Linked DNA regions of Notamacropus eugenii. The protein of the gene in region 1 binds, or shares a complex with, the protein of each later gene. Links are inferred from orthologs where the notes say so. Each region holds a gene or a part of one and is shown on either strand. Other genes may lie near its edges.

Region 1 (6,916 bases):
AGAGAGAGGGAGAGGGAGGGAGGGAGAGACACAGAGAAAGAGAGATAGAGAGACAGAGAGAGAGACAGAGTGCACACCATATTGGAGTTCCACAGACTAATAAAGGTACCAGAAATAAAAAACTCAGAAAGTCCATGGATTGGAAAAGAATAGCTGTTTTTAGTCTGAGAGGCTTTGAGTGGCTAGTTCCCTTCTTACATCTCAATATCCCCTTCCCCACCCCCAGTTAAAGCCAAAATTTCTAGTTCCAGGGAAGAAAGGTGAGGATATCCAACTCATATCCTCAGGTGGAGTTGTATTTGTGTCAACTCTACCTGACTGTTAGCTCCTGGGTAGGAGGATACCTATCTTCACTCACAAGCTCCACCTTGTGGTGAGATATATTCTCTCTCAAATCTTTAACTTCCTCCTAGTTACTGGCTCTTAACTTAATGAACTCAAACATGCCCAAGTCTCCCTCCATCCTAAAAACCTTCATGGAACACTACTATTTTCTCAAGATACTACCTTCTATCTCTCATCCCTTTCTTGGTCCAGGTCCAGATCCTCTGTATAAAATGCTGCTTCTACTTCTCTCACCCTAAGCGCTCCACATTACCTGTTTCATCTGTCTTCATGGCCATTGGAACAAATTGCTCTCATCCACACATTCCACCAAAGGAAGTCTTCACATGCTTGGGGTAGACACCCCCCTAACTCACCAATGGGTTTGAGAACCCTTGGTTACCCTCAACCTGGTTTGGCTTGTCTGCCAAAATGGTTTACCAGGGTGTGGCCACTGCATGCTGCAACTTAGAGCCACAGGTGAGAGTTGAGTGGAACAGGTTGACACCAAAGGTGGAAAGAGCCCTGGAAAGGGCTCGGCAGCCATCACACCAAAGGCACTGTTCCTGTAGTGTACTTTACAGGGATATTCACATTGACAATGAGGTTGATGTACTCATTGCCAGAGCTAGCTCAGTATTTGGGAGGCTCCAAAGAAAAGTCTGGGAGAGAAGAGGTATTTGACTACCAAACTGAAGGTCTACAGAGCCGCTGTGCTGACCTCATTGTTGTATGCCTATGAAACATGGAGAGTCTACCAGTGCCATGCCAGGAAACTGAATCACTTCCATTTGAACTGTCTTAGGAAGATTCTGAGGATCACCTGACAGGATAAGGTACCAGACACTGAAGTCCTTGCTTGAGCTGAATTGTCAAGCATTCAAACTATGCTTCAGAGAGCGCAATTCCAATGGGCTGGCCACATTGTTCAAATGCAAAATGTATGCTTGCCAAAAAGACTATTTTATGGAGAACTCACATGGGGCAGGTGATCGCATGGTGTTCAGAAGTGATACAAGGACACTCTCAAGTCTCTCTCAAGAACTTTGAATTTGACTGTGCAACATGGGAGACACTAGCACAGGACCACTCAGCATGGTGTGCCTACATCATAAAGGGTGCTGTGCTCCATGAACAAAGCAGAATTGAGACAGCACAAAATAAACATAGAATGAGCAAATTGGAGCATCCACCCTAAATATTCACATGGACTATCTGTGCCCAACCTGTGGTAGAGCATTCCAAGTTCGCATTTTCTTACAATAACTTAGAGGTGTTCCATTATTAGTCTCTTAGATAAAGATTTAATATTGTTTTTATATCTTCTATTAATCACCTACCATGATTATAGAAATTTGTCATAAAAGGAAAAAGAGGGACATAGCCATAGTAAAGGGGAAAATTCTCCCCTAGCTTGATGTAAATTCCAGGCTAGAGTCATATAGGCCGCCAACTGCATTAATAGAATGTCACAGCCAGGCTCAGAATTAGCCTGGTGGGAAATTTTTCAATTCAAGAGGAAATGTCATACATTCAGGAGAGTCCTACCTTAACTCACATCAAAAGTCACTCTCCTGACTTTTCCCTGAGATAGAACTCCACCAGTGGTAAGTCCCAGATGTCACTCCCATAGGGTAGCTGAAATTATGAATCATTGGCTCAATGACATTTTCTGATTATTATACCTGGAATCAGATTCAGACTACCAATTACAGTCCCATAAGATTCAACTTTAATAGAAAATTTCATTAATCATTGCTTCGGGCTGCATTCAGTTATAATCACTCTCATGTTACTGAGAATAAATATTGTAGACTGACCTCTTAATAAAGACTCTAAGACTACAGACTGTTAAAACTAGGTCAATTCAAGATGTAATTTCAATATATACCACTCCAGGTATAATTTCATAATCACAAATCATCTCACAAACTTTGTAAAAGGATGTTAGTAATACATGAGATCTCATTTTCTCAACAACCATATTCCAGAGTTTCATAGCCTTGTTTGTCTTTCAGTTTTTCAAAGAGGACTGATAGCAACAAAGGCAGAGTTGCATAAAGTCATTAACCACACTCTCTTCCAGAGTCATAGAAGTCCAGTGGTAAGACATAAGTCAAGAAGACTGGGAGTGCCTGGGATGGAGTGGATGGCCTTGGAGTCTTTGATGCCTAAGCTCTAAGCACTCCACAATGCCTACTTCAGCTGTCTTCATGGCCATTGGAACAAGTTATTTTCACTTGCCTGTTTCCGTGGGAGAAGTCTTCACATGTTAGACATCCCTCTAATGCACCAATGGATTTGAGACCTGTCAACCTAGTTTAGGCCATGTGCGGAAACAATTTTACTAATATGTGGCTACTGTGCATACTACAGCTTCTTGAAGACACAGACAGGTGAAGGTGGACACTCAAGATGGATAAACAGCCCTGAAAAGGGCTCAGTAAGTCCTTAAATCAGTAGTGCTACTCCCTCCTGAACAACCCATACACCTGGATTGACTAGAAAACAAAAGCCATTTTAATCAGGCTCTCCCTATTTGTTTTCCCCTTTGATGAAAGAAAAAAGCAAGGATAAGAAATCTGTCCCACTTAGAAGAGGTCCAGTCTAAGCTGGCTAATGAGTAGATAACTTAGGGGCCGGGAATGATCATATTACTTGATCATAGCCCTTTAGGAACTGCTTGGTGAGCTTAAACTGAAACAACTGGGGTCTGACCAAATAGGAAATGGGATGGATTTCAGATTAATATGATACAGAATGATATTAATTTTCCTCAATAGTGACACATGTTTTTTAAGGTGATGTGATCATAGACTGAGAGCTGAAAGGGCTCTTAGAGGCTACTTAATCCAGATTTAAATCCTACAACCCCAAGTCTAGGTTTATTCCTTGTTGGCATTCTATAGGCTATGAAACATATCAGCCCTGGAGCTTCCAGTGTGACTCACCAAGGTCTCTCCTATGCTCTGCATTGATCTACTGAAAGTCTTTTGGAAGCTCACACCACCTCTGGAATATTTTTCCCATTGGAATACCCTCCTACCCTTGCAAGTCTACCTCCCTATTTGGCTGTTTCCTCCCAGATCTTCCATTTTAAAGAGGAGGCCCAGGCCCATCAATCTTTATTCCTCTCCAGGATGTGTTCCTGTTCATTTGCACAGGACTTTCTCTACAAAAGCAACACTTCACTCCTCTTTCCCTTCCCCCTTGTCTTTCTCCATTAGACTATAAACTCCTTGAGGAAGGAGCTTTCTGTCTGTTTATATTTGTACTTCAGGGGCTTGGTGTGGTGCCTGAACACTTAATAAATAACTGAGGGAGCAATGTCCAGGATCCCCCGGGAGAGAGCCATAGCATCTCCATGAGGTGTAGTACAGGTCAGAAAGCTAGCTTGCTTCCTCCCTTCCTTCCACGGCCCAAACTCCACGTGAAGGCTCCTGGGTGATCATCCACAGTAACTGTAGCTCTTTCCCTCCCAGCTGGATTCACTTATTTTTTTCTTTTGCTCATTAAAGGGGACATCCCTGCTTACTTCCTAAAGAGGCCTACTCACTCCTCGGGCCTTCCCTCCCCCTAAGTGAGCACCTGCAGAGACCTAGGCCTAAAGGGCCCCAGGCCTCCCAGTGCATCCTGGGCCGTGGCCAGTCATCCTGGATCCAGACGGCCCAGGGGGGAAGCGAGGCTGGTGAGCTGCACAGCCCTCCCGCCCTCAAATCAAAGTCCAGCGCAAGTCACGTCATCATTTCTCCCGTCATGGTCCTCTGAAAACGAAGGACGAACGCAGATAGAGGACAGTGGAGGCAGGCACAGATACAAAAAGGGCGTCTCCCAGCAAAATCGCTCCAGCGTCATCACCTCCCTGACACGTGACACGCCGCGGGCACTCAGGCCTTTGTGGGCTAACGGGGGGCACACATAGCTTACGAGAATAACAGCCAATAGTTACACAGCTATCCACTTTAGAGAGAAGACTGTCGCAGAGAAGCGGTCACTTGCCCTGGGTCCCGCAGTCATTGTTTTAAGAAATCTAATTTTAATTTTGAGAACATTAAGAACCCGAATTTTAAGAATATTAAGAATTCGAACTGAAGTCTTCCTGATTCCCTATCTAACCATTATGTTGTCCCAGTCATGGCAAAATTGACGATATCGGTCTTGTATAAGGAACGACCCGTTTTATTGATACTTTTATATTTGCCTCTAAGGAGGAAGAAGAGAGAGCAACACTTCACATAGTTCAAACTACTCGGACCTGTCCGCGATTGCTGTTGCACATGCGTACTAGCACGCTGTCGGTCCCGGCGCAAACGAGGCGACCGCGCAGGACGTAACTACCGACAGTAACGTCACGCCGGACGCGCGACTCTCGCGTTGAATAAAAGGAAGCCGGCTTTCTGAGACTTGGGGATTTGTGCACATGCGCATTTCCTTTCCCTCCCCTCAATTGAGGAGGTCGAGTAACCTGGAACCGGAAGTGAGGCGTTTTCAGCTCTTTCCTTCCTTCCTTCCATCGTTGCTTCTATCTAACGTTTCTGTGGTGTGTGCGTAGTACTGGAAGAGTAGATAGAAGGAAAGAAGGGCTTTGAGGAGATAGATTCGACCCCGGGGCACTTGAGCAGGCGCAGCCATGGCGGATGTGACTGCCCGGAGCCTGCAGTATGAGTACAAGGCCGTGAGTGTCGGGCCCGACTCGGCGCGGGGCCGGGGGAGGGGGCGGGAGGAGGGAGGAGTAGAAAGTGGACAGAGGGGTTTAGAGGCGACCACATTCCAAGGAGTCGTGAAGGGCAGCCGCTGAAACAGAGTCCGAGCGCGGAGACCACTAGAGCCCCCCGGGAATCCTGAAGAATGCGCCCGAGAGACCGGGCTGGGAATACGTTGTCTCCCGCCGTCAGGCACCCCTGGTTCATAGACTCCGAGTTGTGTACTTGCTGTGGGTGCTGTTTTCAGGAGGCATCCCCGGGAGTGGGGCATCCTCTTATTACAAGAGTTTGGGCCGCATCTACGTGTATTGTTAGGAAGTGCCCGCTCCTAAGCGCACAACTACGCACTTCATTCTCTCTTTAAGAGATGTTTTACTTATTTTAACATTCATTTTAAAAACTATTTTTGAGTAACAAATTCACTTCCTCCCTATCCTCCCCTCGAAAGGGAAGCATTGCAGTACTCATGTGTACGCGTGAAACCAGGCCCTATTGTCAAGAATTATCATCTAAGTAAGGGGAAACATTTGCAGGAATTGAGTTGCCTGCATTCAGTCCTGCTGTCGTTGTAGCTCTGTTCATATTGTGATTATTCCAGAACTCCAACCTTGTCCTCCAAGCTGACCGTTCTCTGATTGACCGAACACGGCGTGATGAGCCGACAGGGGAGGTCCTTTCACTGGTGGGGAAACTGGAGGGCACTCGAATGGGTGATAAGGCACAAAGGACCAAACCCCAGATGCAGGAGGAGAGAAGAGCCAAGTGAGTATATGGAGAATTCTCTCCTCTTCCTTGAAAATGAAAGTATTGAAGTCCATCCGACATCTGGTTTTCACCTATGTTCTGTTGAAATGCTTGAAGCTTGAGCATAGAACTACTTGACTGGAAATCCCTTTAGGATTTTAGAGATCCTTCTAAACTTAAGGTCACATATGGATACTTTCATAAATGTTGTTTTACGAATGAATGCTGGTACTAAAAGATGTATTAGAGATGTCTACCCTCCTTCATTACACAGAATCAGTTGATAAGCTTTTATTGCCTATTGTAGGACAGGCACTGTTCTGCAGGTGCTGTACCTCTAGCTACTGAAGACCCATAAAAGAAAGTTATTGCCACCAAAGTTCTTGTCAAATGACTTAACAGCTGAAACTGTTATAATTTTATTGGTAGAAATAACATTAAAGAGGAAGCATTAGTTAGGTGCTTTGCTCCTGTACCCAAAAGACCGTGGAACCTTTCTATTTGACTTGAAGCTGAAACTTTTTATGTTTTGTTTCTCTTATCAAAATGAGTTCTTTAAGAGCAAGGACTACCTTTTCTATTTGTATCCCCAGGACTTTATGTAGTACTTCGCACATAGTAAAGCCCTTAATAAATACTACTTAAAATTTACTTACTCATTCACTGGGGACTTAAATTTTAAAAAATAAACTCTACTTAAGTATATATATGAGTATATACAGAATAAATATAAAACTAATAAATAGGAAATAGTTAAATAAAAAGTAGCCTGGGAGGGAAGACAGTGATTAGGAGCTCAGGAAAGGCTTCATGTAGAAAGTGGGACTTGAGCTACATCTTGAAGAAAGAGAAAAATTTTGTGAGGTCAGGAAGGGGTGCATTCTAGGGAGGGGAACAGCAGGTACCAAGGTAGAGACATGCAATGTCTCTTGTGTGAGGAACAGAGAAAAGATGAGTTTGACAGGCTCTCAGAATTCAGAAGAGGGAGTAAAGCCTAGTGAGGTTAAAAAGATAGGTTTAGGCCACTTTGTGAAAGGCTTTAAAAGCTAAACAGAAGTCTTTATGTTTGAAGCTAGAGGCAGTGGGTAACTACTGGAGATGGTTGAGTAGGTGAGTTACATGGTCAGATTTGTGCTGAAGGAAAA
Region 2 (7,512 bases), on another chromosome or scaffold:
GCCCATTAAGGGGAGTTTGATTAGGGAAGATCTGTGGGAAGGCCCATGCCTTTTGTTAATGAGGCACTGGTTCTCAAAGGGTGTGATACCCTCTGGCTCTAAAAAAGGTATAAATACTCTGAGTTGAGGTTTTACTTTGGGACTGACTGACTGGAAGTGTTTGTTTGGCCAGACAATGACTCTGGGAAGCCACTAAAGAGCCCACTGGCTTTGAAAACCCAGATGTCAGTGCTTCCCTCTCTGGTAACCATGGTCAGACAGCTGGACTTGTCTGTTGAATTATGGTCAGGCAGAGGAAGCCATGTCTATTGATCTTTGATTTCTCTGTATTTTCTTTTAAGTTCAGGGTGCTGACTCCCCTGAACTAGGTGAATAATATATATCCTTGGTTAAAGGAATGATACATGTGATTAAAGTGATTGTTAACCCCTCAAAAGTCACCTTTCTTTTTATAAATGCAGACCTAAGAACCTGTGATAGCAGGCCCCCTGTGTATGTTGGGGTGCTTACTGTTACAAATATGTAGATGGAAATTGTTATAAAGCCTTAAAAAAATCTAAAGTAGGTTTTGATCTGGTTCTCCAGGAGTATGTCACTGGGGAAGTAGTGAAGAGAAAAGGGGAGGCAGGAACAAGACAGGGTTCAGAGATAATGAAGTTTTAAGTCTACATGATTGAGAGGATGGTGTACAAAGATGAGTACTGATTCGTGGTGGTTGAACTCAAAGGGCAGATCTAACAACTGTGAATGGAAGTTACAAAGAGGCTGATTCTGACTTCATGTAAGGAAAAAGCTCTTTGAAATCAAAGCTGTCCAGGGTGGAATGGGCTGTCTCTGGAAGTGGTAGATTCACTGGCTTTGGAAATTCTTAATGCCAAAGCTGAATACCCACATTTTCAGGTACAACTTGGATAAGATTACCTTGAAACTGCCTGTCATTCCGAGTTTCGGTGATTTTTCTATTGTGTCAATTCAGCAAACATTTATTGTAGTACCTATTTGCAAAGCCCTGTGATAGGTTCTAGACATTCTATGGGTCTCTGCCTTCAACTTGCATATCAGGGACCCTGCCTATACATCTTTTCATACTAGCACCCACTATTTACATATACTAGTAAATCGAGAAATCTTTGTCCATTAAAAAATATATATATCATAAATAGACACTATTAATGGACAATGACCTTAGCTCAGAATTGAAGTGGAAGAATAGTGGAGTGAGCTAGATTTTTTTAGGGAAATGGCAAAGTTTCTTCCTGAGGGTGTGAAAAATGATTAACAACCAACATCTAGGGGAGATTCAGAGGCTCTCCCTTTTTTCTAAATTTCTCATTTTAAAAAATTCAGTTTTCTTGAAGGACATTACTGATAATGAGATTGCAATGACTCTCCTAGATCTTAATCAGACCCCACCCAATCTTGCAAGGAATTTAATCTAGGTTGGGGAAGTCCACCGTGTACTCCTCAGGCTTGGGGAAGGGGGTACAGATCCTTTTGTCTAGATAGCCCAAGGCTGCAGGTGGTCTGAGTAGAAATAGTCTTCTCTGTCCAAGGGTGATGTGATGATGGATGACATGAGCCCCTCATTGGAAGGGTAGATAAACTATGAGCCCCACTGCCATGGCTGTCTTTGGTCTAAGAGAGGCAGCCAAATGACCATCCTTTTATTAGTAACCTGCTGTTCTTAGTAATAACATGATTAAATTTCCCAGGAACTATGTCTCTTGAACATTTTTCAACATCACAAAAAGAAAAAAGGATCATATTTTATAGCATGAATATTCTTCTGGTAATGACATATGGCTGTGACACTACAGTCTTCAAAGAACTAAATTTAAGGATTAATCAAAGGGCAATGAAAAGGCACACAGCAGGGCAGGTATAGTGCTTGAGGAAGAGCACTAGATTTGAAGTCAGAGGACATGGGTATGTCACTGTACTCTCTGGACCTCAGTTTCCCCATCTAAAAAGTCAGGGGGTTGGACTCAGTAGTCTCTAAGATTCTTTTTCAGTTTTAAAATTACAATCATTACGAACATGTAATTATGTAGGGATAGTCTCCAAATCTGTGTAGGGAATTCCAGGCGAGGAAATTCCCTCTACCAAAGCAGTTGTTTCCTAATTAACAGACTTAAGATGGTTAGTTGCCTAACTCTTCCATGGTCATACGGCTAGAATATGCCAGAGGCAGGCCTTGAGCTGTCTTTTTGACTTTAATGATAATGATAGCTAACATTTATATAGCACTTACTATGTGCCAAGCCCTCTGCCAAGGGCTTTAAAATCATCATCTCATTTGATCTTCTTAACAACCCTGAGATGTAAGTGCTATTATCATCTCCATTTTGCAGGTAAAGAAACTGATGCAAAAAGAGGTGAAATGACTTTCCCAGGATCACACAAGTAGTCAGTGCTGGAAGCCAGACCTGAAGTCTGGTCTTCCTGACTCCAGGCCTAATTCAGTAACTCTTACAGATCCTTGACTCCACCATTGTTCCCCCTCCCCTCCATTTTCTCTGGCCTACCATCTCTGGTGCTGGAGCAGGAAGGGATCCCCCAGGATACCTGCCAGTGCTCAGGATGTCAGGGACGAAAGCCTACTTTCACATCTCCTCAGGATTTTTCTGACTGAATCCTACCAATCCTACCCTTTCAAAGATCCAATATGGAGATACGGCTCAAGTCCATAATAAGCTGACTCACTCAAATAATTCCTTAATCATTCCCTTAATAAAATGTGTCTAGGTCAACAAGTTATTCAAATGAAGATATCCTTCCTAATCAATGCTCCCAAGCTGTCAAGTCCCTAAGAGGAGTCTCCACATTCTAAAAAAGGAAATTCAATACCTATCAAGGACCCAAAATCAAAGTAAGGATAAACATGGTTAGAACCCATCTAGTTGAGCAGGTGCCCTTATTGGCCCTTTGCTGCATTCCTTTTCTCATTTACTTCACATTTTCTAGATTTCTGAGTTTTCATTCTCAACTTTTCCTTGTGTAACACTGAATAAGAATTAAGAAATTTCAAAGTTGGTGTACCACAGTAATGATAATATAGTTGGAATAAAAACGGTGTTAGAAGTGCTGAATTCTCATCTTTGCTAATTTCCTTATCTGTAGAGAAAGATGTCTAAGATTTTATCTTAGTTCACATTCTTTAACAAATGATTTCTAAATGTAGCAATATAAGAAATAAGAAATCTCATAAAACCAAGTGTAAAAAACACTGGGAATCTCTGGGTTCCTGATCACTTCTCCCTTCCAAAATGAGCACTGCTCAAGACATTGCTTAAACCACTAGCTTCTAGTCTTTTTGAAGTTGAAATATCCATGGATCCGTGACAAAAGCTACAGTTATCTGTCACTTTATGCCTGTGTAGGTACTCCTTCAACAGAAGCAGGTTCTACCAAAGGAACCTTCAAATTTTTGCTTAGAATGTCAATCCTAAGGAATTCTCTTTAGGCACATAGAGGTTGCATGATGTGCCCAGGCTTAAAAGCCAATGTGCCAGGGGCAGGACTTGCACCCAACTCTTTTTCATTCTTGTCTTTGAACTCTTCCACTACTCCAGGTTATCTCTAACCTTATTATCTGATTTGGGCTGGCAGGGGTGGGGAACATGTGGCCTCCAGGTCACATTTGACCCTCTAGGTCTTCAAGTGCAGCCCTTTGACTGAATCCAAACTTCCCAGAACAAATCCCCTTAATAAAAGGATTTGTTCCATAAAATTTGGACTCAGTCAAGGACCTAGAAGGCCACATGCTGCCTTGAGGCTGCAGGTTCCCCACCCCTGGATGGGAAACCCTGTGTCTGGTTGGGGAAATCTCTCCCCTAGTGCAAATCAACATCTCCTCTGCTGCTTTAAGCGTTGCTGGAGCATTGAGAGGGTTCGACAATGTGCCCCTTAAGTCACTATGTGTCAGAGTCAGGGTTTTTTGGCCTCACCGCCTGCTCCTCTGGTCCACTCCAGTGGTGTCAAACTGAAAAAAACGGGCAATACTAATCCACACGCAAAAACCCCTGCCACTATATATTGACTTAGCTTTAAAATGTAATTTTAACCGTTTTATTATATTTTTATTTTGTTCGCTCCTTCCCAATTACATAGTAATCTGGTTCTGGGAGTGTGGCAGACCCACAAGCAACCTGTGTCTGACACCTCTGTACTACACGGCCTCTTCTCTGATTTTTAAAAATTACTTATTATTAGATCAGTGCTCCGCGCTAAACGCGGGGATCTGTTTATGAATTCAGTTCTATTTACAGGGTAATGTATTTACAAGAGCGACACGAGGGACTCAAGAAACCTACGGCCCTGGGTATCTTCTCCCCCGGACTTGGGCAGCTCTCTCCCCTGCCCTTCAGGCATCCTCATCACAGCCCATTCCAAAGCCTCTCATCCGGCCGGGCTCTGGCCCTGGTCCGCGGACTTAAGGCAGATGGGGAGGCCAGGGGCAGGGGGCTTCTAGTTTCCCAGTCGTTGCCCGGATACCAAAGGGGCACCTAAGGGGTCAAGCAGTGACACACGACTCGCCCACCTCCTTTTCCGTCTCCCCAGAGACACCTTCGACGGCTCTCTCCTCGGGTTCAGGGAAGCTCTTTTGTTTGTCAAAAAAGTATCGGTCCGGCTGCATAGGGAGAAAACGGGCGGCCCAGGCCTGGGGAGCCGCGTCCCCCTCAGGCAGGCCAAGGGACTCATAGTCGACCCCTGGCGGCCACACGAGGGCGGCGCCGTCCACAAGTCATGGCTTCCTTCCGTCTGGCTCCGCGCAGGGCAAGGACAAAGAGAGCTGGGGCGAGGTGGAAGGGAAGAAGCCTTTGGAGAGAAGAGTGTGAGGAAGAAAGAGCCTAGCAAAGAACTGGATGAATGACTGTTGGCCAGCCGACCTACAGTTAACCGGAAAGGGCGGGCTCTGGCTTGCCTCTCCCGGGCGTCCTAGCGACTTCCGCTTCTATTCCCGCCCCGTCGGCGGCCTTTCTCCCCGACGATTGGCTGTTGGCTTTGGTCATATGACGCCTTCCGTTAAGCGCGTCTCCGCCACCTTGTTTTTCTTTTCCGGTAAAAGAGAGTCGAGTTGTTTTCAAACTCTATGCTCTTTGGGGGTCCCGGCGCGGAGAGTTGTGGGAAGGTGGAGGAGTAATGGTGCTGGCATAATATCGGAGGGCCGTGGGACCTGAAGTAAGTGATTCCAGAGACCTCTCTCTCTTTAGCTCACGGGGAAAAAAAGAGTTTTTTGGGGAGCAGTGGGGCTGGGAGATGTGGAGAGGCAGGAGAGCTGAAGGGAGAAGCCAAGCCGCACGGGTTCTAGGGCCCCGGGGTCGGGTGTGAAGGGAAGGCCCGGGCTCGGGATGCTGCTGGCGCTTTCGCCTTTGCTGTCCGTCCCCGGGTCTCCTCGGATTTCCGGTGGTACTTCCCCGAGTCTCCCTTTTGCATTAGTTACCGGGGGCCCTGCCGCCCTCACCCCCCATTACTGCGTAAGCCTCTTGAGGGCCGACTCTGGGGTATCTTCTTTTGTATTGTTGACGTCTGGAACATGGAGACCTTGGCTGGAAAGTTAGAATTTACAAAAGAAAACATAACCAATTCGTGCCACATCGTTATGAGCTGCATGCTCATTTGGGGCAATAAACTTTAAAAATAGAAAAAAACCCAAAAAGACCCTAGGTGCCCCACGGCCTTCTGGGCCACCGCAGGCCGTCCTGAGCCGTATCTGGCCCCTCGACCCAGAAGGTGAGGCCGGAGACCTTGCGCAGCCCTGCCTGCCTCCCTGAGTCTGATGGAGATGAGAAAGCCAGTACTACTTGCCAAGGCTTGTGGCCCTAAGAATGATCGCTTCCTCACCTTCCCAGGACTTGTAATTTGCTATGGTAGGTCATTGTTTGGGGGGCGAGGGTGTTCTCACAGTCTACGTGCCGTGGTGATGTTTATGGTCTTTCAATAAAGGTACAGATAGAAAAAGTTACAGAAAAGGGGATGGTGGTGATGCGTTCAGTTAAATGAATTTTGAAAGCTCTTTTGCATAGGATTTTAACTGTTTTTAAAACTAATAATTTTCTTAAGTATGGACATGTGACTGAATATAATTGTATATCCATGAAGCCTCGAAGATGACCACAGCGGCAAGGCCTACATTTGAACCTGCAAGAGGTGGAAGAGGGAAAGGGGAAGGGGATTTGAGTCAGCTTTCAAAGCAGTATTCAAGCAGAGATCTACCTTCTCATACGAAAATTAAATACAGGTAATAATGACTAAATGTTTCTTGTAGAGAGTTTTTCTTAAAAGGCAGAAGAAATTTTGTATGGGGTTCTGTAACGACCTCTTCTGGATAATAGGGTGTTGCTATATATGTCAGTTACCAGAGAATTAGCAATAAAATATGAACATTGACATAAATTTCATTCTTTAATGTATAATGAAAATTTTTTTTTAGTGTTGGGTACACAGGCACATAAACACAACTATGTCTGTGTCAACGCACAGACATGATGATCATAAAACTCTTCTGTGCCATGAGATTGTGTTTTTTATGGTCCTCATATCTAATTGAGATTAAGTTTTTCTTTCCTGCTAAACATGGCCTGACTTGACACTGTACGTAAATTCAAGCATATTTAATTAGTGTCCTTGCATTTAGTCCATCCTACCAGTAGTAGCAAGAACTTTTTTGATTTTGAACTTTATTTTCATCATTATACTCCTGATTACTTACTGATCAAAAATCAGACTCCAGGTATCCCAAGTACCTCACACATGCATTTAGACCTTGAAGTATTGTAATGGGTTTTTAAGCACCCATATGAATCTCTTACCTATAATGTCTTTGTGCTAATACCCTGGCTTGTAATTTGAGTTTCAGGCATTCAAATATATTCACTCCCCATCTCATATTACTTGCTTTACCCTTTTCTATACTCTACAATAAAAAAATAATCATTACTGTCTAAACTCCATAAATGAGATGAATAAGATAATAGTCATTTAAATACAATGAGTGTATGCCAAGAAAAGCTAGATTCAGATTGAATCCAGAGGTCAAGTATAAAGGTGACACCTACTAATGCTTTAGTTTTCTCAAAGCAAGATGTGTTGAGCATAAAAGATAATCAAGGAGACAGATGTGACCATGTTGAGACTTGCTGGAATCATGAAATTAAAGTAGAATCAGAATAATACATTAAGAGCAATTAATACCTACTCAGTGCCAGTCTTAATATACACTTCTGGAACTTCGAAATGGTCGTAACAGGTTTGAAAAGTATCCTAACACATCCTCTACAATGTTAATGAAACATAGGATCCATCACTGTAAGGTAGCTATAGAAAGAGATTCATGCTGCCTCTCCAAGAAGGACAGAGATTGATAAACATTCTTAAAGCACATAATAATCAAGTCTAAAAGCTACAGAAATATTTTTAGACCAAGCAGACATTACTTCACTGGGCACTATAGTCAATGCCATTAGTTTTGTTCAGTAAAACTGAAAATGGATAACCTCTAGAGGGATTGTT
Region 3 (8,006 bases), on another chromosome or scaffold:
CATTTGAAGCAATGGAATAGCAGCTGGTGGGCCCATGAGCTGGACCTCCAGGGAGGGGAAGGAGTCCATTCACTGGAGAGCTGGCGGCTCACTGGTCATGATGCTGGACTTCAGAGTCAGGAAGCCCTGAATTCAAATCCTGACTCAAACACTTACTCTTGGTGTGACCCTGGGAAAGTCGTTGGACTTCTCTGGGCCTCAGTGTCCTCATCTGTAAAGTGCTGATGATAATGTCCTCACATGAAAACCCTCCATTTCATCCCCTGCCCTGACTGGGGATCACAGCAGGTGATATGTACAAATGTAGAGTGATATGTAACTCTCCTGTATTAAGCACCTACTGTGTGCACCTAGCTTAGAACTGGCACTTGCTAAGTACTTAAGAGATCTTTTTGATGCACAGACAGCTCATTTGGTCCTCTTTACAGCCCAGCTGTTTACTCACCCCCGTTTATATGTGAGGAAACTGACACCCAGAGAGTTTTGACTGAACAATTCCCACCATCCTAGCTCACAGAAGCATCTATAATAGGCACAGTTTCTCTCAGGTACCTAAGGAGGAATCAGCCAATTCCCTACTACACTGACCTCCCAGTGGTCTTTGGCTACAGAGGGCAGGGCTCCTGCTGCCCCTTGGTGCACAGTCAACTGGGCATCCGTGTAGCCCAACAGCCTTGGACCCCTGAGCTGAGCTTATCCCAGGAGGTGAGATGCTCACAGGCTACAAAGGCATGGCTGAGCCTGCTCTTCCCTGGGGAGAAGCCCAGAGTCCCCTCCAGGTCAGGAAGGCATCAGCTGTGGACATAGTGTCCCCTTTGTGACAGGCTCCTTAGAGAGGAGGGCAGTCTCTATCCAACACCTGAAATGTGCTCATCCATGAGCCTCAGGACCATCTTGTAAGAGGTCCAACAGATAATATTGTCTCCATCTCACAGAGAAAGAAACTGAGGGTCAGAATGGTTCAAGGACCTGCCCATGATCACCCAGCTGACCTTCAAAGACCACCACTCTAGTTTAGACCCCGTGTGATCACGGTGCTACAACAGTCTCCTCCTTGGTTTCCCTGATTTCTCTTTCTCCCCTCTCTGGTCCATCCTACGCCCAGCTGCCAAAACCATCATCACTCCCTTGTTTAAGAAACTTCCCTGGCTCCCTATTACCCCCATCTCTAGCTTGCCTTTCCAGGCTCATTTCCCCTTTTTCCCTGTTCATATATTTTTCTTTTCCAGTCACACTGGCCTTTTGCCATTCTCTGACTGTGGACTTCAGTTTTCAATCTCTGTGCCTCTTTGCCTGGGAGGCTCTCGACTTCCTTCCAAGCTTAGCTCATCTGGGGTTAATTCCTCTCCAAAACTCAACATTCTGCAGCACTTTAAGGCTTGCAGACTTTTTCGGATTCACTGTCTCATTGGGTCCTACAAAAGAACCCTGGGAGACAGGTACTACTGTGCTTCCCATTTTGCAGATGAGGAAGCTGAGGTCCAGAAAGTGTCTGCTGTGGGATTTGAACCCAGGCTTTCAGTGCTCCCTTCCTCCTCCTCCTTAAAGGTCCTGAATGATATGTCTATTTTAGCATGTTGTCACACACAGTGTGAGCTCTGAGGGCAGGACTCAGTTTCCATTTTTGTCTTTGTACTGTCAGCACAGAGGGCCTTAATAAATGCTTGTTGGGTTGGCGTGGAAGTGTCCAAGGCAGCATCTGAGCCTACACTGCCTCTCCCTAGCAGGTGCAACATGACATGGTGGGGGCCTTCGGCACTTGCGCAGGATAACATGTTTTTATTATTAAAGCTATCTCATTATTTTTCTCATTCTTTTAACACTGGCAGTCTGAGCCCAGCAGACAGGGTAACTCTCCTGAATGGTACAGCTAGGAAAAGAGGATGCATCCTGTCCCATGCTGAGGCAGGCAGTCATCTCCTTTACTTTCTCCAGGGCTCTTGAACATCTGCCTCCCATGCTTCTGGGTCCCTCCTCTAGACCTGGCAATGTCCCCTCTAACATGCTCCTGGCATCCTAGCCCACCCAGCCCTGGGGAGGGGCATGTCTTCCCCCTTCATCACTCACAGCTTTCTACATCCTGGCTTCTAGTGTAACATGAGACAATAAGGCTGATGGTCTCGATGGGTCTTTCTAGTTGTAGATCTGTAACCTCTGTGATTCAGGACTCTGAAACGTCTCCCCCTCATGGCTGCCCGCATCCTTCCCACTGCCTTCCTCCTCCTAAACCTATTCCTCAGCATGAACATCAGTTCCACCACCTTCCCCAATCATCACTCCCCCCTTCTTGGCTTCCCTTTCTTCCTTTTCCTCTCTTCACAATCTTGACCAGATCTAAAGTAAACTGATTCGCCTCTATACTGTCCTGTACCTTTTGATCTTGTGTCTGATGTGTTGTATACCAGGCACCGTGCTAAGCACCAGGGACACAGAAAGGCCAAAGGTGGTCTCCATATTTGGGGAGCTTCCCGAGCCCAACCCTGGGTTTGCCCACCACCTGCCTTCTCTGCTTCTTCTCACAGGGGCTGCCTAAAGCCACCTCCAATTCACAAGTCTCCCGGGCCCTCCCCCATCACCCCCCAAGCTTTCCACCTCCCCCATTGTCACCCATCACGATGAACTCCCTCTTCTCCCTAATCCCCTCCACAGCCCCCCCATTCTCTACATTTCCAAGCCCCCAAACTGCCCTGCCCCCTTTTCAGTCTCTCTCACCTCCTTCCCTGTGACCTTCATGACCTTCATGCATTATGTCAGGACATTGTCCCACACCTCACATCTCAACAGGAAAGCTGCCTTCGCTGTCTTTGCCCCCACTGCAGTACCTCCTGGTGGCACACTCTCAACCCTTTTGCAAAGCTAACTTCAATCCCACTTCCCAGGGGACACCAATTTCTCCAGGATTCCAGTGACCTCTCTTTCGCGGGTCTTCACAAGACCACCTTATCCTGGTTCTCCATCTGAGCCCCCCACAATCCCCTCTGCTGAATCATCGGCACCACTGACAAGGCCCCTGCCCCTGCCCTTGCTCCTCTCTAGACCAGGGATGTGCCTTTGACAATCTGGTGAAACCTGTGGACTCCTCAGACTCGTGTTTTAAATGCATAAACTAAAAATACATAAGATTATGAAGGAAATCAATTATACTGAAGACGTCTTCTAAATGTTCTTTAAAAACACAAGTTCACCGTCCCCTTGTTAAGAGTGCCTCTTCTAGACTCTCTTGCTAACCTCCTCCACCTCAGCCTAGAGATAACCCCCCTGTGCCAGCCCAGCCCTTGGCCCCCTCCAGAGCTCCTTGCCAGCCAGGCCCTGGGTGCATCCATTCAATGTGTGTGGTCAACAGGCCCCCCATGGATCTCATTTCCCTTCCCAAATCCCCCCATACATGTTCTTAATGTCTACTTCTGTCGATGGCCAAGCAATTGCCCACACTATTTTCCCAGCCCAGATGCCAAGGCTTGTGGGTTCTACCTGCACAGTGTCCCATCTGTGTCCTTCCTCCCCTCCTAGGATGGCCCGCTCAGGCCCTCCCCAGCTCTCAAGAGGCTTCTGGCTGCCTCTCCTGCTCCCACCCCCACCCCCACCCCCACCCCCAGCTGCCCCAGGAGTCTTCTCCTCTGCTGAAGCAGCTTCAATGGCCCCCTAGCTCTTCCAGAGTCAAATAGGAAGGCCTCAGCTTGGCTGTTAGAACCCTTCCCAGTCTGAGCATCCCTCTGACGTCCCATTCCACTTTCCAAGACTGGCAGGCCTTGCCTCCATGTCCTAAGATCTCAAGCTCTGGACAGAGCCGGCCCAGCTCAGCCTCTAGGTCTCCCCTCCAACCTGAGGCCCTTCCCAGCCCTCTGGGGTCTGTGTCCAAATCACATTGCATTCCTCCTTTCACATGCTGTAACCTTCCCAGCAGCACATGAGCTCCTCCGAGCCAGGGGCGGCAGTAATGTACATGGTAGGTGCTCAATAGATGCTGATCAAACTAAACAATTCCAGTCACACTGGCCTCTAGCTTCCCTCCAGACTCAGCTCAAGGGCTGGGCCTACTTGTTAGAACTCTCCCCCAGTCCTGGGAAATAACTTGGCGCTGACTCTACATGCAGGGAATATGAGTTAACATTTAGACGGCCACTACTGTGCACCAGGCACTGTGTACAGCACTCTACACTTCCCCCTGGGAGGCATTATCACCCCCATTTTGCAGATGAGGAAATGGAGGCAGGAAGAGACTTCTCCAGAGTCACACAGCTACTCAGTGTCTGAGGTCACATTTGAACTCAGGTCTTGCCAACACCATGGCCAAGGCTGTCACCCCTGCTCCGCCAACTGAACAGATTCTTGCCTGGCAGCTGATGAAGCGTGGAACTTGTGTGTGATGGACTGTCTGCTTGGGCCGAAGTGTCGGGGCAGGATGGCCCTGAATCACAGATTAGCTCTCCTCCTCTAACATGCTGAAAAGGAGGCCTGGAGAAGCGGGTCCGAGGCAGGCTGGAACCCAGGCTCTCTGCCCACTGTACCCCCTGAGGAGGGCCGTGCATGACCAAACACGGCCGGGCCTTGGGAGGCGGGGAGGCCTCAGAGAGGCTGGATGGTGGCTTCTCAGAGGTGCCCAAAGACGGCCGGTCCACTGCCTATCCCCAGCCCAAGGCAAAGCGATGAGGGGGCACCACCACGTACAGAGCCCTGGGCCCGGAGTCAAGATCCGAGTTCCAGGCCAGCCTCAGGCGCTTACTAGCTGCGGCTTCACAAGGGTAAACTGAGGCCCGGGGAGGGCCCGCGGTCACGCGGGAGGCGGAAGGTGGCAGGGGCGGAATTAGAACCCGGGTCGGGCGCTACCTCACGGCCACCACGGGGAGGGCGGGAGCAGAAGGCTTGCTCTTCCCCTAACCCCTAAGCTGGAGCTGAAACGCGTCCTCGGGAGCCCTCCCTGGGACGTGGGCACCGAGGACTCCGCCCCCTGAACTAGAGACGGGATCCCGGGTCGCTATGACAACGCGCCTGCGCCAACCTTTCCCTCGCGAGTCTTTCCGGACTCATCGCGCATGCGCCGAGCGCTCCTTCCTTAGCATCTTCCGTTACACAACCGTCTCTCAGCCCGGAACCGGAAGTGCCTCTCTCCTCTCGCTTCGCCTCGCTGCGCTCCTTTACACCGGAACCGGAAGGTATTCGGGGCGGCAGAGACAGCGGAGCCAGAGCGCAGAGGCAGCCGCAGCGCGAGGAAGGCAGGACTACAAAGGAGCGAAGGGCCACCGCTACCATGTGAGCGGCAATCCGCCCCTCGACCGAACACGGGGATGCCATCCGGGAAGGGGGCGCGGCCGGGGCCACGAGGGGGCGGAGTCGGGGCTGAGGGCGGGCGAGCTAACGCCCCTACTTGGGGGGAATCGCCTGGGCGACGTTGGCGATTAGAACGCGCGGGGCGCGTGCGGCCGGTGAGCAGGCAGCGCGCGAGCGGCACGTAGTGGGATACAACTGGTGGGAGCGAGGCGCGCGCCGAGCACGTGGAGCCGAAGGCGGCGCGCGCGGCCAATGGGGCCAAGGGGCGGGCTGGGAAGGCGTCAGCGCGGCCAATGGGAAGAGGGGCCGAGCCGGAGAGGGGCGCTGGCGGCCAATGGGGGAAAGGGACGGACCAGTCGAGCCGCTCGAGGGGCCAATGGGAGGAAGGGGGTGGGCTGCGGGCATCTGTGTGTCTCCCTGCGTGTGCCCTGGATCCTGGATTCACGTCCTGCCCTGCTGTGAATTTAGGGAACATTGATTTAATGCCAACAGCTAGGCAGCAGGGCAGGTAGAGAGCAGGGCCTAAAGTCAGGAAGATTTGAGTCAAAATTGGGCCCCAGGCACTAGGCAAGTCACTTCACCCTGTTTGCCTCAGTTTCCTCACCTGTAAAAGGAGCTGGAGCAGGGATGGTGGAACCCCTCCAGCCAGTGTCTGCCAGGCGGCTATTGAACCTCTCCCATTGTTGACCCTCAGAAACCAGTAAGCTTTCACCTCTGTCAGCCCAACATCTGCTTCCTCTGGAGTCAAGTACAGTGAGTCTTAGTCTTTCACTGACCTAGGACAGTCATCCTTTTCCTAACAAAGCCTTTTCTTCTCTAGCTTAAACATCCCTTCATCCAGTTTCTTCTGAGCAGCCTGAGAAAATTCCTTCCTGTTTCCAGAGTCACTGACAGCTAACCTGAAGGAGTCTTGGGAGAAATATTTTTCCGCATACCTTGTGTATATAGTCCAGCCAGACTGGTCTGTCTATTTTCCTAAACAGACATAGTCCTTGTGCTTTCCACCTATGGTACCCTACAGCCATCTTCCTGTAAAAATACTGGCCTTCTCCAAAGGCAGTTTAAAACAGAGTGAGGCACTCTGTTTGGCATCAGGGCCCTTGGCCTTAGACCCTTACTCTGTTTGCCACAGCTGTGTGGTCTCCTAAGCTACTTTTTTTCCCATGATCATTTGCTTTACTAAGTGCTTACTTAGTAGAACAAGCTTAAAGATTATAAAACAAGACAATTCCTGCCCTCAATGAGCTTATGTTCTAATAGAGGTAGGCAGTGTGCATAGGAGTATGGGGAGTTCCTGGGATGGTGAATGGAGCCTTGGGGAAGTGAACTGACAAGGCCTGGGGAGTAATAGTATGAAAATGGATTTAATTATTATTTGGGGGTGAGACGTGGGGCAGAAGAGCAGATGGTAACATGGCCAACGCAGACATAGTGAGCTATGTGATTTTACACAAAGCATCTGGGATAACACAGCCCCTCTCATGGGAGTTCCAAAGCTGAGAGGGAGATCTAGATTCCCTAAGGTTTGTTCTCTGGAGATCTGGTGGTCTAGAATGGTACTTTTTAGGGGAAGGTTCTTCTATTTGCATGAGGTAACGAGTTCCCTGTCACTGGAATTATTTGAACAAAAGCTAGATGGTCCCTTCTCCAATGCTGTTGTAAAAGGTATTCATGCTTGGTTAGTATTTGGACTAAGGTCCCTTTCTCTCAGTATCTTCCAGCCTTAGGTTTCTTTGAGTCTGAAATGGGATGGGATGGGATGGGATGGGATGGGGAGCCTTCCCTGTGGGTAACACCCACTGAACCAGCCACAGTTTTGAGTGGACCCAAGTGGGGCCCTAGCTGGGGAGGTCTGCATGAGTAGAGCATGAATGGAGAATAGCTTGCCAGGTAGAAAGTGATCCAGGTGGCAGAGGAGCTGCCCCACCACCACCAGCAGATGAAAGGGGAGTTTTGCTTTGCAGGGCAGAAGGTTATGGAGGCTCTCTGTCCCTGGCCAGGCCACATAGTGAACTTTGCCATACAGGTCATGTACAGAGCAGATTGGGGTAGAGGGTATGGTTAAGGCAGTTCAGGGACCTTGGTAAAATGGGAGCCTTAAGGGCTTCGGTGAGGGTGAGATGAGGCTCCAAGGACAAAGAGTTCGGTTATCTGGAGAAGCCCAAGTCCTAGGTAGGGAGTTATCAGTGGGCCTGAGCTCGTGCCCAGGGCTTTGGGGGAGTGCCAATGTGTCTGTGTCTGTGCATTGCCCCCAGGAGTCTCCTAAACAAGCCCAAGAGTGAGATGACCCCTGAGGAGCTGCAGAAGCGCGAAGAGGAGGAGTTCAACACCGGGCCCCTGTCAGTGCTCACTCAGTCAGTGAAAAACAACACCCAGGTCCTCATCAACTGTCGCAACAACAAAAAGCTTCTGGGCCGAGTGAAGGCCTTTGACAGGTGGGGGCTGGCTCTCCCTGGTGGCCATTGTGGAGGGTCCTGACTGGGGGCAGGGGGCATGGCAGAAGGGAGGGCGTCAGGGTAGGCTCAGCTGGTTCTTGTGCTCATCCCCTGCCCCTCCTGGTCCTAGGCACTGCAACATGGTCTTGGAGAATGTGAAGGAGATGTGGACAGAGGTGCCCAAAAGCGGCAAAGGCAAGAAAAAGTCCAAACCAGTGAACAAAGATCGTTACATTTCCAAGATGTTCCTGAGGGGGGATTCAGTCATCGTGGTTCTCAGGAACCCACTCATTGCTGGCAAGT
Region 4 (7,320 bases), on another chromosome or scaffold:
ATCCCACTCCCAGCCAATGGACAGACGGAAGGGAATGTGCCGGTGTACTCAGACAGGGAGAGTTCTGCCTGCCTCTGGCCTCCCTTCGAGGAGTGGTCTTCCCACTGTACAATGCACTGAGGGATAGAACGGCTAAGTGAAACTAGAGAAGATGGCTCTCTAGAAGCAGCTGGGATGCCAGCCTTGGGAGAGGGCAGGAGACCACTTCTAGTTCTCATGGGTGAAGGAAGAGGATAAGAGCAGAAGGAAGGCCTCTAAGAAAGAAATCTGGAGGGCCCTGGAGTCAGGCAGGAGCTCAGAGAGTGGATTTCAGGAGGGTGGCATTTGACAAAGAAGGTGTATGATCAGAACTGTTGAGGAAAATCAAATGGCCTCTGGGCAATGGATGAGGAAGGAAGAGACAGATGGGCAAAGGCTGCTGGGTCCATCAGTCACCTCCCCCAGAGAAAGGCCATGGCATCCAGGGACAGGCTCACCCCTGCTCCCCATTCTTCTCTTCAGGGTTTGACTCCGAGGGAGGAGGAAAGGAGGGAGGCAAAGGAAATGCCGCCAACAGGAAGGCAAAGATGAAAAGCTGATTTTGGCCAAGCTCCCCAAAGGGGCACCTAACCTGCCAGCCTTTTGTGAAGGGCTAGGAACCGCTGCCAGTGCACACAACTTGCCTAGGGCTGGGTGAAGTTTTTGATAAAGAATCTCATGCTAGTTTTGGGCAAAAGGTAGAGATGTGAACTTTTTGGTCACTCAGTCACTTCTGACTCTCCTTGATCCCACTTGGGGTTTTCTTGGCTGAGATGCTGGAACATTTGCCATTTCCTTCTTTAGCTCATTCAACAGATGAGGAAACCGAGGTAAACAGGATGAAGTGACCTGTCCAGGGTCGCTCAGCTAGTAAGTGTCTGAGGCCAGACTCAGGAAGTGGATTCTTCCTGGCTCCAGGCCCAGGTTCTGTTCTCAATGGTGCCATTAGTGGACCCACATGGACTAAAGAATACAATGAAATGAATTCAGAACTGGCTGATAGGTTGGTCAGTCATGGACCTTTGATGAAAATGTGGAAAGAGGTCTCCAGTGGAGTGCCCCAGGGATCTGACATCGATGGTCTGGACCAAGACACAGATGCCCAGTGGAGGACAGAAGGTGGGGAGGGGGCAGACAAGATGAAATAATAGCAGCATGGGTGGCGGGGTCTTAGGTTTGATAAGCTCCCCCGTGACCTCAGAGGCTCCTGACAGCCAGGAAGGGATTTGAGCTCCAAGGATGGCCTTAACAGGGTCTGGCGGAATGAGGACAAAAGTCATGGTCATGACAATGGCAGTGACAGAGAACAAGGGAGGGAGGGAGGGTCCTGGAAGGGCTAGCTCTGCCACAGAGGTTGCCCGGTGGGCAGACAAGGCTCAGTGACCCAAAGGGCCCAAAAGACAAGCAGCAAGATGAAGGGAAACCTTCCCAGTGAGTTTCTCTGATAAAGTGTCATTTCTAAGATGACATAGGGAGCATTGAGAACCCTTCTCCAATCGATAAATGGTCACTTTTCAATAGAAGAATCTAAGTCATTAAGAGCCATGTGAAGAAAGACTCTGAATCTCTGCTTATTGGAGAAATGCCAACCAGCCAGCGCCAAGGATCTGTCTCAGCCCCATCAGATGGGCAAAGCTGACCAAAGATGAGCCATGTGGGAGGGGTTGGAAGAATCTAGAGGCAGGAAACACTGGTATCACTCCTAGATATCTACCCCAAGGAGACCAAAGCAAGAGGAGAAATATCAATAATAGCTCTTCCTGTGGGAGCAGAGAATTGGAAACTGAGGCAAGGCCCATCAACCAGGAAATGTCTGGTCAATCTGGGCTGTAGCTATGATGGAGCAGTACTGAGCTATGAGAAACGAGGAAGGTAATAGGTCTGGGGAAGACTGGGGCAGAGAAGAGATCCAAGAACAACTACTATGATACCAGTGAGGTTCCTGGGAGCAGCAGTGCCCTGGGGGCATCAGGTACTCGGGGTGGGACTCAGCTGGGGCCTCGGGGTCAGGTCTGGGCAAGCTGGGGTGAGAAGGGCCTTGAGCTGCGGATCCACGGAGGGCTCAGGGCAGAGCTCTCAAGGCTGAGCTGGGAAGATAGGGCGGAATGGCACCAGAGCTGTCCGTGGGAGATGGGGGCTGTCGGCAGTGCCAGCTTTGCCACATGTGTGCTGAGGTGCCCAGGAGGGTGGGCTGAGGCTGTGAGCTGAGCCTGTCCCTTACTACCTGCGTGGCCTCGCTAAGCCTCAGTTTCCCCATGTGTAAAATCAGCATCAAGGCTACTCTTGGATAAACACTTTCCAACCACGGGAGTTAGAGCAGGGAGAGCATGGACACTGTCAAGGAGCGCACGCAGCAGGACCTGAAGCCCAGCCGCCACCCTCTCTCTGGGCCCTGGCAGGGATCAGACTCAGGGGTGCCCGGGGGCAGGGGAGGGGTCTCACCACTTCTCCACCAACACCTTGCAGGACGAGGCCCGGGCGAACAGCTGGTTGACCCGGCTCTCCTCGGCGTCGAAGTGTCTCCTGTAGAAGGACTGAGCGGAGAAGACGGCGTTTAGGCCGCGGTGGCCACTGACCTAGGCACGGCCCGGGCAGGGAGGGTAACAGCGCCAGCCTGGGATCCCCCTCTCCCCCCTGCACAGGCCCCCTTCCCAGCCGGGACAGCGGGGCTCCCCCACACCTGGTTCCGGTAGCCCTTGTCCACGCCCAGCGTCCGCGTGCAGAACCGGTGGCGCGCCCCGAAGTGGCGCATCAGGTAGGCCAGGTCGATGGTCCAGATGCTCCGGGTGAGCTGCAGCTCCTGCAGCGCCTGCTCGAAGGCAGCGTCGTCCTCCAGGAGCTTCAGGTACCTGGGGCGGGGGAGTGCGCGGGTGGGCCACTGGCCAATCATCGAGCTGAGGGAGGGACTGGGGCGGGCCCGGGCAGGGTAGCAGCCAATCCCCGAGCGGGGGAAGGGAGAAGACGCCAGGCAATTACCGAGCTCTGAGGGAAGGCTGGGGAAGGAGCAGAGGGGAGGCATCGGCCAATCACTGAGCTGAGGGCGGGGCACGGTGGACCATCGGCCAATCACCGAGCTCAGGGAGCGGGGGAAGGCGGGGCCTGAGGGGGGAGGAAAGAGATGGAGGCGCGGGTGGGTCACCGGCCAATCACAGTACTGGGGCGGGGCCGAGTGGGGCCGACTAATCCCCGAACTACGGGAGCGGGGAAAGAGACAGAAGACAGGGACCCGCAGGGGGTCAATTACCGAGCTCTGAAAGGACAGGGGAGGGGCCGAAGGGAACACCGACCAATCACCGAGTTGAGGGAGGGACTGGGGCGGGCCCGAGTGGTGCACCTCCCAAACCCCAAGCGCGGAAGGGGCGGGGACAGGGACGTGCCGGGTGGGCCAGCGGCCAATCCCGGAGGTCAGAGGAGGGGTCACCAGCCCGGGCCCCGCCTCACCTGAGCACCATCCTGGAGCAGGCCAGCCCGCAGTCCCAGTGGTACAGCTGCTGCACGATGGGCACCTTCAGTTGCACGAAGTCGCCTGGGACAGAGGACTAGCATCGGAGGAGGGCGGGGTTGGGGCCCTCCCCCCATGGTCCAGCAGTGACCCCGCCCCGCCCCTCCCAATGTGCTGGCTCCGCCCTGGGAGCCTTCGCCCCGGCCGAAGTTCAAATTCCGTCCCCGCCCTGGCCAGTCCTGGGGCTCCTCCGCCCTAGGGGACCCGGGCCTTTGGCCTCCGGATCTCCCGCAGAGTCCCAGGCTGGGCATCCAGGAGATGCTAATTCCGTGCCCCTCAGTCTTGGTCAGGGCGGGCTAGGACCCCGTACATGGACCCCTGGGCCGTGCCTCAGTATCCCCCGCTGGGAGACCGATCTAGGACCCCGTAAGCGGACTCCCTGGGCCGTGCCTCAGCCTCCCCAGCTGTCAGAACGGGCTGACTCCATAACCCTTCCCTTTCCCCCTGCCCGTGCCTCAGACTCCCCGGCTGCCCTCACCGGGCTCGGCCCCGGCTCCCTCGGCCTCTTCCCTCATGCCGCCTGCGGGCGGACGGGCCGGGGCTCGGGCTGTGGAGGCGCCTTGGCCATGGCCCCGGCCCGATCCGCTTCTGCCCGGGATCTCGGCCCCCGCCTCGGTTCCTCAACCCCTCTCCGGCCCCACCGCCGCCACGGCCGCTCCCGGGAGGACGCGAAATCTCTCACGGCGCATGCGCTAGCGCACGCACAGCGCGCCACCGACGCGGCACGCAAGGCGCAGAGGCCGAACCCAGGCCACGCCCCCATCCTCCATTTCCCGCCCCTTTCTCGAGCACGCGCCATGGGCCCCGCCCTCAGGCCCCGCCCCTGTAAGCCTCTAGAGTCTCTTCTCCCGCTCCCACCGGGCTGTCTAGGGGCGGAGCGATCCCCGGAAGTGCCCACCCCGCTTCCGGGCCCGGTGCATGCTGGGACCGCGAGACCCGCCATTCAGTTGCCGCTGTTTGTCGCACGTTCGCGCCGCCGGAACCGGAGCCGGGGCGGGGGCTGCAGGTGAGGCCTGGGCCGAGGGGTCCGCGCGACCCGGGGCGGGGGGAATGGGAACCGGGGGGGGGGGCGGGAACGGGGGGAGAGTAGCGCGTGGGCGAGGGGCTCTGGCTCGGCGTTCAAGGCCATGCCTCCCGCCCCCGCGCCTTTCTCTGGCAGGGCCTCCCTCAGCCTCCTCCAGGGATGCCCTGGGCCCCGGGAAGGAGGGCGCAGGGGGGGGTCTCCAGGCTGGGGGCGGAGCCCCATCCCCACTCCCTGTTTCCCCCAGCCCTGATTCGGAATTTGTCCCCCCCACCTGGACACCAGCGGCGGGGCGGCAGCCTGCCTCAGTGCCCCCCCCAGGCCTTCCTGCACCCGGAGCCCCTCCCCCCAAGTACACCTCCCAGCTGCGTGCCGAGCTCTAATAACAGCGCCCCCCATCTGCGAGGCGCTTACTCGGTGCAGCGCCGGACATTCAGTAGGTGCCGCCTAAATGCTTGTTCCTCCCCAGGGTAGGAGGAGGACCCCCATTGTCTTCTCCTTCACTCGGACCCGGGCCTGGCGCAGGGTTTCCGGGCTGTCGCTGCCCGGTTGGGTCCTGGGGGGCTGGGCTCCAGTGCCTCACGTGTCCCGCTGGGCCCCGCAGGTTCTCGCTGTCGCCAGAATGTCGATCGGTGTGCCCATCAAGGTCCTGCATGAGGCGGAGGGGCACATCGTCACCTGCGAGACCAACACCGGGGAGGTGTACCGGGGCAAGCTGATCGAGGCGGAGGACAACATGAACTGCCAGGTACGGCGTGGCGCCGAGCGCGGCGGCTGGGCACGGAGGGGCGGGGCAGCGCAGATATGGGGGGCAGGCGGGCACTGAGGCTGGCCGCTGGGCATGGAGGGGCCAGGCAGCGCAGACATGCGGGGCAGGCGGGCACCGAGGCTGGCCGCTGGGCATGGAGGGGCCAGGCAGCGCAGACATACGGGGCAGGCGGGCACCGAGGCTGGCCGCTGGGCACGGAGGAGCGGGGCAGCGCAGACATGGGGGTCAGGCGGGCACCGAGGCTGGCCGCTGGGCACGGAGGGGCCGGGCAGCGCAGACATGGAGGTCAGGCGGGCACCGAGCCTGGCTGCTGGGCACGGAGGGGCCGGATGGTGCAGACATGGGGGGCAGGCGGGCACCGAGGCTGGCCGCTGGGCACGGAGGGGCCGGATGGTGCAGACATGGGGGGCAGGCGGGCACCGAGGCTGGCCGCTGGGCACGGAGGGGCCGGATGGTGCAGACATGGGGGGCAGGCGGGCACCGAGGCTGGCCGCTGGGCACGGAGGGGCCAGGCAGCGCAGACATGGAGGTCAGGCAGGCACCGAGGCTGGCCGCTGGGCACAGAGGGGTCGGGCAGCGCAGACATGGGGGGCAGGTGGAGGCAGCCCGCTGGGCACGGAGGGGAGGGCCCCTACCCACCCCAGGTCACGTGTGGTCAGCAGCCCGGCTTAGGGTGCAGGGGCCGGGCAGCACAGACATGGGGGGCAGGTGGGCACCGAGGCTGGCTGCTGGACATGGAGGGGAGAGACCCTACCCACCCCAGGTCACGTGTGGTCAGCAGCCCGGCCTAGGCTGCAGGAACCAGAGGGGCTGGGCAGCACAGACATAGGAGTCAGGCCAGGTGCCAGGCTGGCAGCCTTGGCGGTTTCCCCGCTGGTAGTAATGACAGTAACAACTAATGACATTCATTTTGTGGCAGGTGTTAATTGTCTCCTTTGAGGTCCAGACAGGCCTGGGGCAGGCTCTGTTAGGATCCCAGTCTATGGTTGAGGAGCCTGGCCATTGCCCAGGGTCACCCACCCGGCGTCTGAGGCCTCCCAGTGGGAGGATGCAGGGAAGGCTTCCCAGAGAAGGAGGTCATAGAGGCTGGAGAGAAGCCTCATGGGAAGGCTGCCCTGAGGTTGCAGGGACGGGGCTGGATGGCCCGTGCTGGCAGGTGTGGAGGCTGGACAGCCGAGCTCAGAGCCAGCTGTCTTGGGGATAGAAGTGGAAGGGAGAGCTGGTGGGCAGGCAGGCACTCAGTAAGCATTTCTGTGCCGCACTCCAGGCAAAATCAGTGCTGGGGAGAAAAGGGCAGACCCTGCCCCTCCCCTGGGGAGCTCCCAGTCTGAGGGATGAGACAACAGGTAAGCAGCTCTGGATGATGGGGGAACCAGAACCAACCTAGGCTTCTTGGACAAGGTGGGATTCAACTCCCAGAGATGGGAGAAGAGAGGGTGTTGTAGGCATGAGGCAGCCATTGAATTCAAAGGCACGGAGGTGGGAAATGGAATGTTGTGACCTGGAGCAGAGAAAGTGTAAGGTACCAAGAAAGGCAGGAGACGTCTAATTATAAAGGCTTTGAAGGCCAGGCAGCATTTTGTGCTTGATCCTGAAGGTTATAGAGGAGGAGGGTGGGGGTGATATGCTCAGACCTGCGCTGGCTGAATGATGTCCTGGAGAGGAGACTGAGGCAGGCCATCCATCCAGGTGTGGAGCAGGGTGCCACCAAGGTGAAATGGTTGGGCTTTAGCACCATGTTGGATCTGAAGGGGTGCGAGGGAATAGGGAGCCCAGGGCCTCCTGGGAGGTGTGCCAGGGGCATGGCATGTCTGGCATGGCAGAGACTCAGAGGTGGAAGGGGCATCGCCTCCAGCTCCGCCCCTGTGACTTCCATTCTCAGTGTGAACACTTCTCCAGCTCTGACCTCTCTGTCCCCATCGCCAGTTAGCCGTGCTTCATTCCAGTTGGATGTCATGCCTCATAGGCATCCCCCGAGTCCTCCTCCCCGCTTCTTCCCCTATAGCCATG

Evidence for each region.
Region 2: SNRNP200 (region 1) and CWC15 share a complex: the UniProt entries of both Homo sapiens proteins name them as parts of the minor spliceosome. The link is inferred for Notamacropus eugenii from reciprocal best matches to the Homo sapiens genes SNRNP200 and CWC15.
Region 3: SNRNP200 (region 1) and SNRPD2 share a complex: the UniProt entries of both Homo sapiens proteins name them as parts of the U4/U6-U5 tri-snRNP complex. The link is inferred for Notamacropus eugenii from reciprocal best matches to the Homo sapiens genes SNRNP200 and SNRPD2.
Region 4: SNRNP200 (region 1) and SNRPD3 share a complex: the UniProt entries of both Homo sapiens proteins name them as parts of the U4/U6-U5 tri-snRNP complex. The link is inferred for Notamacropus eugenii from reciprocal best matches to the Homo sapiens genes SNRNP200 and SNRPD3.

What each region holds. Positions count from the first base shown.
Region 1 is NC_092872.1:606,974,484-606,981,399, reverse strand, and holds the start of SNRNP200 (U5 small nuclear ribonucleoprotein 200 kDa helicase), read left to right. Parts: upstream 1-3,916; 5' UTR 3,917-4,954; coding exon 4,955-4,999; intron 5,000-5,625; coding exon 5,626-5,789; intron 5,790-6,916. UniProt on the Homo sapiens protein: Catalyzes the ATP-dependent unwinding of U4/U6 RNA duplices, an essential step in the assembly of a catalytically active spliceosome. Plays a role in pre-mRNA splicing as a core component of precatalytic, catalytic and postcatalytic spliceosomal complexes.
Region 2 is NC_092876.1:163,313,043-163,320,554, forward strand, and holds the start of CWC15 (spliceosome-associated protein CWC15 homolog), read left to right. Parts: upstream 1-4,499; 5' UTR 4,500-5,181; intron 5,182-6,102; 5' UTR 6,103-6,110; coding exon 6,111-6,241; intron 6,242-7,512. UniProt on the Homo sapiens protein: Involved in pre-mRNA splicing as component of the spliceosome. Component of the PRP19-CDC5L complex that forms an integral part of the spliceosome and is required for activating pre-mRNA splicing.
Region 3 is NW_027325105.1:194,631-202,636, reverse strand, and holds the start of SNRPD2 (small nuclear ribonucleoprotein Sm D2), read left to right. Parts: upstream 1-5,004; 5' UTR 5,005-5,248; coding exon 5,249-5,250; intron 5,251-7,523; coding exon 7,524-7,703; intron 7,704-7,833; coding exon 7,834-8,006. Other genes in the region: QPCTL (glutaminyl-peptide cyclotransferase-like protein), read left to right, coding at 2,880-3,055. UniProt on the Homo sapiens protein: Plays a role in pre-mRNA splicing as a core component of the spliceosomal U1, U2, U4 and U5 small nuclear ribonucleoproteins (snRNPs), the building blocks of the spliceosome.
Region 4 is NC_092875.1:1,748,481-1,755,800, forward strand, and holds the start of SNRPD3 (small nuclear ribonucleoprotein Sm D3), read left to right. Parts: upstream 1-4,319; 5' UTR 4,320-4,526; intron 4,527-5,145; 5' UTR 5,146-5,163; coding exon 5,164-5,289; intron 5,290-7,320. Other genes in the region: protein GUCD1, read right to left, coding at 2,461-2,552, 2,699-2,867, 3,460-3,544, 3,999-4,035. UniProt on the Homo sapiens protein: Plays a role in pre-mRNA splicing as a core component of the spliceosomal U1, U2, U4 and U5 small nuclear ribonucleoproteins (snRNPs), the building blocks of the spliceosome.